2 linked regions of the Arabidopsis thaliana genome follow. The protein of the gene in region 1 interacts with the protein of each later gene in a pairwise test. Each region holds a gene or a part of one and is shown on either strand. Other genes may lie near its edges.

The links. The genes of interacting proteins can lie anywhere in the genome.
Region 2: the proteins of ETC2 (region 1) and GRF1 interact in a two-hybrid assay, tested with the Arabidopsis thaliana proteins (one large-scale study listed by BioGRID).

The regions. Positions count from the first base shown.
Region 1 is NC_003071.7:12,960,344-12,963,814, reverse strand, and holds ETC2 (Homeodomain-like superfamily protein), read left to right. Parts: upstream 1-1,652; 5' UTR 1,653-1,899; coding exon 1,900-1,984; intron 1,985-2,087; coding exon 2,088-2,175; intron 2,176-2,712; coding exon 2,713-2,878; 3' UTR 2,879-2,968; downstream 2,969-3,471. Other genes in the region: KIS (tubulin folding cofactor A (KIESEL)), read right to left, coding at 3,263-3,364. UniProt on the Arabidopsis thaliana protein: MYB-type transcription factor involved in epidermal cell fate specification. Acts as a negative regulator of trichome development, by mediating lateral inhibition.
Region 2 is NC_003071.7:9,726,847-9,731,809, reverse strand, and holds GRF1 (growth-regulating factor 1), read right to left. Parts: upstream 3,331-4,963; 5' UTR 2,970-3,330; coding exon 2,642-2,969; intron 2,479-2,641; coding exon 2,266-2,478; intron 2,021-2,265; coding exon 1,648-2,020; intron 1,348-1,647; coding exon 669-1,347; 3' UTR 509-668; downstream 1-508. UniProt on the Arabidopsis thaliana protein: Transcription activator that plays a role in the regulation of cell expansion in leaf and cotyledons tissues.

The DNA.
Region 1 (3,471 bases):
AAATCGTTCATACAATCATGCTCACATTCACATATCATATACATTCAATTTCATGCACATGTTCGTATGCACTATTGTTCGTAACCACTTAGCTATCTCAACCATCCATCATTTCACTATCTTAACCATCGAGCCCTCAGATATAATGCTTGGCATCTCTCCATCTCTTAGTCATCTTGACCCTCAAACTTATCTGATTCTCAAGATAGTGAGAGCTCAGGACTCATAATATAGGAGTTTTAGATTTTGCTCACCATATTGGGCCATTAAGCCCTGTTTCCTTTTTTAGTCCAATCAGATCCTATAATTCCAGTGTATACCAAGCTTCCTGATCTTTAAACACTTTTAGGCAAATATAATTTCTTGTCCTTTCTTACTTAGAACCATTCTTCACATGAGAACCATCATTTGTGTATATATATTAATAACTTTCAAAACCTTAATAATGATCACGACATAAAATCTTTATAATGAGAGCGGGTCATTACAGGTGAACTCCTTTGTCCGTCATATCAGCCGTCTTAGAAGCTCGTATGTGCCCAATACTCTCAGGACCAGCCCTGAGCTCGTATGCATTAATTACTGATCTGGTTTTAAAATTTGTATATATACGTACATAGCCATATGGGATACTTCAAATGTATGATTTTGTCTCGACAGCTTTTACAAGTTTAGTCGAAGTGACCAGACAACAGCTGCAATCCGAAAGCATGTTTCAATGAAGTCGTTCTAGTCCATGACTGAAAATTTGTTATACTGAATGTTGTCGATAACTTTCCTTTTGTTAACGAATGCTTGTCGATAAATTTATATATATCCAGTATTATGATCACATAATGATAAATTAGAGGAATTTCATATTTTTGAATTGGTCTTAGCTAATACGTACCACGTAGGATCAATTTTCTCCTAACCTACTTCTTTAATATATAGTGGGTAAAATCATAAATGGTTCATTCTGATTTCACGCTGAGAAAATGATATGCTCATTATATAAGTACCGATTTCTCTAAGACAACTTTCAATCTGTCAGGAAAAGAAATTGATACGTCCGTTTCTTACAGTTACTGCATTTATTATCACTGAGACGATAATTGAGTTCTGTAGATGCATAAATAGGAATTATCTGTAGGGCATGCATATGTAAAATTAGACACACACAAAAAAATCTAAAGAGAAAAAAGCACAAGAAAACAAAAGTTTTGTTGGATTTTGCTAGTATTATTTACGACCCACAAATCTATATCACAACACGAAATTAACGGTTTATGGACTTTTTTTGTCCAATTTTCACGAAGTCGAAAATTTCGGGGAAAAAATTTCACCTAATGTTATTGGAGAACTGTAAAATAAAATTATAGATTATGTACATCCACATTCCACAGCCATCTCCGTCCGTAAAAATTTCTAAAATATAAAAAGAAAAACTGTGATTTTAAATTAGAACTTGTAGGATTACGTGTTCATAATATTTATTGAGAAGTGTATTTGCATGTGATGTTTTTCACTCGATTTTAATACGTTACTAGGCAAAAAAATAAAACTAGCACGCCATTTTAGTGACTGTTAAAATGTTCTGTTATAGGTCAGAAACAAAATCTGATCAAAATTTATTGTGAGCATTATGAACTTTTTGGAATAGTAAAAAACAAATCGAACGTATCACGAAATTATGTTTTGACGTATTCGATCGGGATATATAAAAACAAAAATGTGAATTATAAATTTAGGAATATATACGTAGAAATTCCAATAAAAAATAAATCACCTATCTCTCTCTCTCTCTTTTTATATAACTATTTTTTTCCCTCACATCTTTTCTATATCTTGCATTCTCCAAACTCTACATTTTCAGTTTCTCTGTAAATTTATCTAATATTCTTCTATTTTCCAGTAGTTATGGATAATACCAACCGTCTTCGTCTTCGTCGCGGTCCCAGTCTTAGGCAAACTAAGTTCACTCGATCCCGATATGACTCTGAAGGTCTCTCTTCAATTCATTACTCTACACTCATCCTCCTAACTCGTCAGCGTTAAATTATCTTCTCATTTAATTTTTGTTTGGATAAAACGAAACAAAAATGCAGAAGTGAGTAGCATCGAATGGGAGTTTATCAGTATGACCGAACAAGAAGAAGATCTCATCTCTCGAATGTACAGACTTGTCGGTAATAGGTAACAAATTCTCTTCTTCTGTCATGTCCGATTCAACATATTTTAAAAACAACTAGTATTTTATAAAATTAAAAAAAAAAAAAAAAAAACTAGTATTTTATAATTTAAAAAAAATTCACATGGCGAGAGTAACAAATCAAAGCTGATAAAGTGTTATGTTATGGTAAACATGATTCTAGAGTAGTTTAGACTTTCGAACGTGTTTCGAGAAAAATGACATGCCAATATTTAAGCAATGACATGAGTATTTTACTTGTATAATTTCAAAAAAAGTTTTATGTTGTTGATAAACTGATAAAATGTATAATTAACAGAAACTAAAATTTCTTCTTTTCTTAAAGTGTGATGATTTTAAAAACAGTGAAAGGATTGAATAATATATTGGCTCTTGAATATTATTGTCTTTATATATATACATTTTAAATTTCATTTCTGCATTATATATGTTGACTCCTGAATTTTGATAAATGTTTTTTCAGAATTTTGTGCTCGTCTATAATTCAAAAACACATTATATGCTTGAATATTGATTGTCAGGTGGGATTTAATAGCAGGAAGAGTCGTAGGAAGAAAGGCAAATGAGATTGAGAGATACTGGATTATGAGAAACTCTGACTATTTTTCTCACAAACGACGACGTCTTAATAATTCTCCCTTTTTTTCTACTTCTCCTCTTAATCTCCAAGAAAATCTAAAATTGTAAAGAAATCAAAATAAAAGCTTTCAATCATAAAAGTAGAACAAATCTTGAATGTCTTCTCATCATATAAATGGTTCAGAAATTGTTGAATCTCTTCGCAAAACAAATTAGAATAAGATCACCTTTTCTAAATCCGTGCTCTTAATCTTCACTTAGTTTACAATCATGGTTGTCAAAGTTATATCAATTATCAATCGTTAAGTTGCAGCTTACAACACATTATAGCAAGTGTGCCATTTCAAAGATATTGAATGAAAGAACAATCACCAAAATGTTAAAGAAAGATATTTTTAGTGTATACAGTCGACAAGCAACCTTAGATATAAAGATTCTTACAGATGATTAACCATTCTCAGAATACAGATTTAACACTCATCGCTGGCTAAATCAGGCATCTTCAGTGGGAAACTGCTTCTCCACATCCGCGACTGTCTTCTTTGCATCTTCGATCTCTGGACCTTCCTTCTCATCCGTCTCTTCCAATTCCGCCTGCAAATTCAGTTTTCATTAGAGACAAAAGACAGAGTACGAATTCACAGTTTCCTCTGTGTCCTTATTCATCATTTTTCCTCAAAGAGAGACTAAGATGGTTTCAT
Region 2 (4,963 bases), 3.2 Mb from region 1:
AATCCAAATTAAAAACGTTATGGACCATCCATACATTGAGAGATTGGTCCTCCTCCACTCTTTATAATCAATTTCATTTTTTCTTGAAGAAAAACAAAAACAGGAATAAGTGAAAGGTAGGGTTAGAGAGAGAAGAGCAAAAAGTAGTTACAGGGACCCAAAAGTGGAGAAACAGAACCCAAAAAAAAAAAAAAAAAAACTAAAGTTGGAGACAGTTGTTTTGAAGAAGTGTTCTATGTCCAATCCACAAACAATGTTGCCTCTTGTCTGCAACTAGGAAACCTCTCGTCAAAATCTCTCAAGGATCACAAATTTTGTGACACTAACACTTGGTTTTAATTTTGTGGTTAGTGAAAAAAGTAAAAATTTGTATATTTTTCAGTTTTAGAACATTGTGTACATAGACTTCTTAAAACCAGGGATTTAGCTCAACGGCTATAAGAGGAACAATAAAATCAAGAATTTGATGATTGAGAACAAATAAGAGGAAAAACAAAGAACAAAGATTATGAAGAAAAAAACACACATCTCTCCTTTAGTTTCTTCTTGCTTTATATAGAAAGAAAACAGCAACAGAAACAACAATGCATCAAGTAAGAAAAACCAGAAACAGAGAAAAACAGAGTGTTTTTGTTTTCGCAATTGTCCTTAGTTTTTTTTTTTCAGTTTCACAGAGAAGGAGCAGTAGCAGAAGTATTCATCAGCGTGGTCGGGCCAAGCGGATCTTTTCCATCACCGTTCTTATTGTTGTTATCGCCAATGATGGTGCTGCTTGCCGAGCTGCTGTTAGAAAGAGAACCAAATGTCGACTTTTGCAAGACGCCTGTTGGAGAGGAACCAAACTTGGGACTATTGGTCGTGCTGTTTAGTACCTCGCCGAGTGGACCTCCCATGGAGTTGTTATTACCCCAGGAGATTGGTATCCAGTTATTCGTCTTTTTCCCGGGGTCAAGAAACTCGGTGTTGACGCCTAATCCCATGTGGATCGCGGGGTCAAACTCACGCGATAACCTTAAAGGTGAGAGTGCAAGTTTATCTTGAACAGGGGAAGATGGAGCCATAGGGATTGACATTGAGAGCTGAGTCCAATCCGATTTCAGCTCTTCGGGCCAAGAATCGACATTGTTGTGATTCCCCGCGTGCTTGGCTTGGTTGCCGAAGTCAAGATACGATCCAAAGCCTTTGGAAGAGGTTGCATACGAGGCTTGTTTATGCGACGGATTAAGTAACGAATCAGAAGAGATGAGTCCGAATTCAAAGGGATTATTGCTTTGTTTCGGATGAGTTTCCTTCGACTGTAAGTTCATCGTGGCAGGAAAAACCGAAGCCCCTCGAGAATTTTGAACTCTGCAATGCAACAAACAACCATTAAGATTTCTTGTTAATTTGTTACATCATTGAATCATCAAGAAAAGGAGAGTAAACAGTTCATTAAAGCAAAAAAATCCAAATATATGGAATCCTAAGCCTCATATTAATAAGGAGTGGTCACAATCATAAAAGATGTAGTAATAATGAATTGGTGGGTCTACTACTTACTCATAGGGCAAAGAAGTATTTAAAAGTTGAAAAAGGTATGAACATTAAAAACTTAAGAATATGCAGATAAGTTATATCAAAAAGGCAAGAGATGTTAAACGTTTTCACCTGTTAGCCAAAGAATCTGTAGATTGATTATTGGTATGATGTTGTGTTCCAACAGCAGCGGCAAGGCTATTGTTATTATCTGATCCACGCATCGCAACAGCTGAAGTCCCCGCTGCCGCTTTGGACACAGCAGCAGCGGTAGAAGCGGCAGCAGCAGAAGCAGCGGCGGCAGCATTAGTATTGTGGCCATTTTGGCCTTCCACAGGCTTTCTTGAACGATGGCGGCCTCTGTTAATATGTCGTTCACAGTACTTTTGATCGGGAACAGCGTCCCTCGAGCACCGCCATTTCTTTCCATCTGTCCGGCGACATCTCCCTGGCTCGGGATCCATGTTACCACCGGAAAAGCCCAGATGAAAAGAGCCCCATCCAACTTCATAATCACACAAAACAAAAAAATCTCTCAAGATCTCATAAAAACACCATTCCCCTAACAAAGCAAGAATCTTTAATAAACCCACCACCAATCCATACAAGATTCAATGTTCCAAAGGACTATACACTAAAAAAGATAGTATAAAGTTAATTCTTGGCTAATGTATTGGAGATAAAAGGAATCAAAACTATTGATCAATAATCTCAAATCTTTGAAAACAAAAGATAAGGAAGAGAACTTACAAGAATTAGGAGGCAAGGAACCATAAGGGAAAAAAGATTTCTTGAGAGAGAGAAGTAAACTAGATGGAACAGGGACATTGGCTGTGATATACTTATAGATCAACGCCTGTTGCTCTAGCTCTGCCCACTGAGTCAATGAAAAAGGTCCTTTTACTCCTGTCAACAAGTTTCCATGCATGTTGCTTGTGTTCATCATTCCTCCTAAACCATATCCTGACACCACAACAAAACCAATATTCCAAAATCAAGACTTCACTAAATCAAACTCTAATCAAAACCCATTTCTGTAATCTAACTCTAAGCAAAAGCCATATACTGATTTTCAAGAAAGTAAAAAAAAAAAGCAGAGTACTTTAGTTGTTTTTACAGTTCAGACCTGAGTTTCTACAGTACTGAAGATAAGGTGAGACATCTGATTTGCCTGAAGCAGAAGAGAAGCTAAGCATGTGTTCTTGTCCTTTACGAGGATCATTAATAGTGGTAGATCTCAGTAAAGGGATGCCTTGATGAAACGACAGCGTTTTAGCAGAGGCAGGGGAAGAAGAGAATCCATCAGTTGATGTTCGTGAGAGCTTTGAACTTCTCCAGCAATCTTCACCATCGAAACCGGATCTTTCTTGCTTGTTACTGAAACCAGATCCGAGTTCAGTTTGACCCGGAGAAGAAACGGTTTCATGACCAGAAACACGAACTCCAAGATCCATAAAAAATGGATTCAGAAGGAGACAAAGAAAAAGTAGTGCTAAATAATCACTTCAGAGATTTTTCCCATGGGAGGTAATCGCTTTGAGCTCAGTGAAGAAGAGAACCGAGAGAGAGAGAGAGACAGAGGGAGAAGAACGAGGCTAAGTTTTTTTATTTTATTTTATACTCTAGATATTATTTTTATTATTTTGGAGAAAGGATATTTATTATTTAATAATAACAAAAAGTAATAATTGTGGGAGTGAGAGATATGATATAGCTTTGGGTGGAGACAAAGAATGGTACCGAAAACACAATCAAGATCTCGGACATGTTACTACAAAGAAATGAAAACTATAATCAGATGCTCTACGTATGATTTTATTTTGATTTATGTATTATTTAAGATTTTAATAATTTTGTGGTTACTTTTGTGATATGAGAAAAATAATTATAGAGGAAGCAAACAATGAACTTTTTAAGATAAAAGACATGTGGACACCACGTGAGACATGTCTCTCTAGTTTCAACTTCAAACCCTAAGAAAGGAATTTTCATTTGCTTTTTGCTTTTTGCTCTAAAATTTGTTATGGTATGCATTTTTACCAAACGTTGCAAAGGGAAAGATGGGGTATACTTTAAGTGAGATTTTAGTATGAAAGAAGTTAGAGAATGAGATTGTCGTATTGAAATAATAAATATAGTATTGAGTTGAGTATCAAATATCTATCAGATTCACGTGGTTCCCAATTGTATTTGGACTGTCTAATGGTGTTCTCCAATGTACCCCAGCTGATTATAGTTACATGGGCCATTTATGTTTTTCAATCCTATCTCTTGGGTTTAAGTTTTATTACAACTTTTTTTTTTCAAATGGCCTTATCCCTTATGTAACATAAGTACATAAGTACATCATATTCATCGCTAGTGAAACTCATATCAATTAGGTTATGAATAATTTGTATTTGAAACCTTAAATCAGAAATTAGATAAGATTTTAATGGTTATATAAATTATATGAGTCAGTTCATTTTTTGCCAATAAGTTTTGAATCGGAAGTCTATAATCTAATATGATATTAGAATATGATTTATAATTCGTGTCTATCCCAATCGAAAATCGGTTCGATCCTAGCAAAAAAATTTTAGACAGCAGATTTTGCAAACAATTCTAGGGGCATTACTTTGAAAAATGTGCATCTTGAGTTTTGCATTCGTATCAAATGTTCAGAAATTCAAATTCACCTTACCTTTCTATTTTCCAAAAAGGTTAAAATGATTTTTTTTTTTTTAATTTGCTTTGAAATTAAGAAGTTGGGCTTTTCGATTCACATAAGCCTTTTCGTCGTAATCAAATATTAAAGGTGCCTAGAAGTCTAGGATGGGAGCTGGATCCAAACTATACTAAAACCATGCACGTGATAACCTGATACCCACCTCATATGAACCCAAACCATACTAGTTCTTTCTAAGACAAACAGAAGAAGAAAAAAAACACTTGCCTTTAAGCTAATAGCTAATGGTTTGGAATTAAACAATAGAAATATTTACTACGTTAAGTTGACAACGTAAAAACAAAAAATACTGTTAACTTATATTAGAATATTTTTTTATTAGTAATGGAATTTTTATTAACAGTTTAAAATATAATTATTACCCAAAACAAAAATGTTTTTATATTTTTGTTGATTTATAAAATATCTTATGATTTTTTTTTATCAAATATCTTATTAGTCATAAATATAAAATTTAATAGATATTAAAAGTTTACTAAAAGAAAAATAATTATTAGAGTCATATCAATATTTATAACAAAAATGAATATCTTTTGTTAACATAATCAATTTGTCAGTTAATTTTGTGGAACCCTGAACACAATAACCATTTAAAGGTTAAAAGTAGCAATATTGACAACTAAACGTTTTATTATAAGAATTCAAAACCTTAAAGGTATAAACTGCAAGTTTTTGCTCTATTAGATTATTTATGGGATTAAGAATATACATTTGATAAAA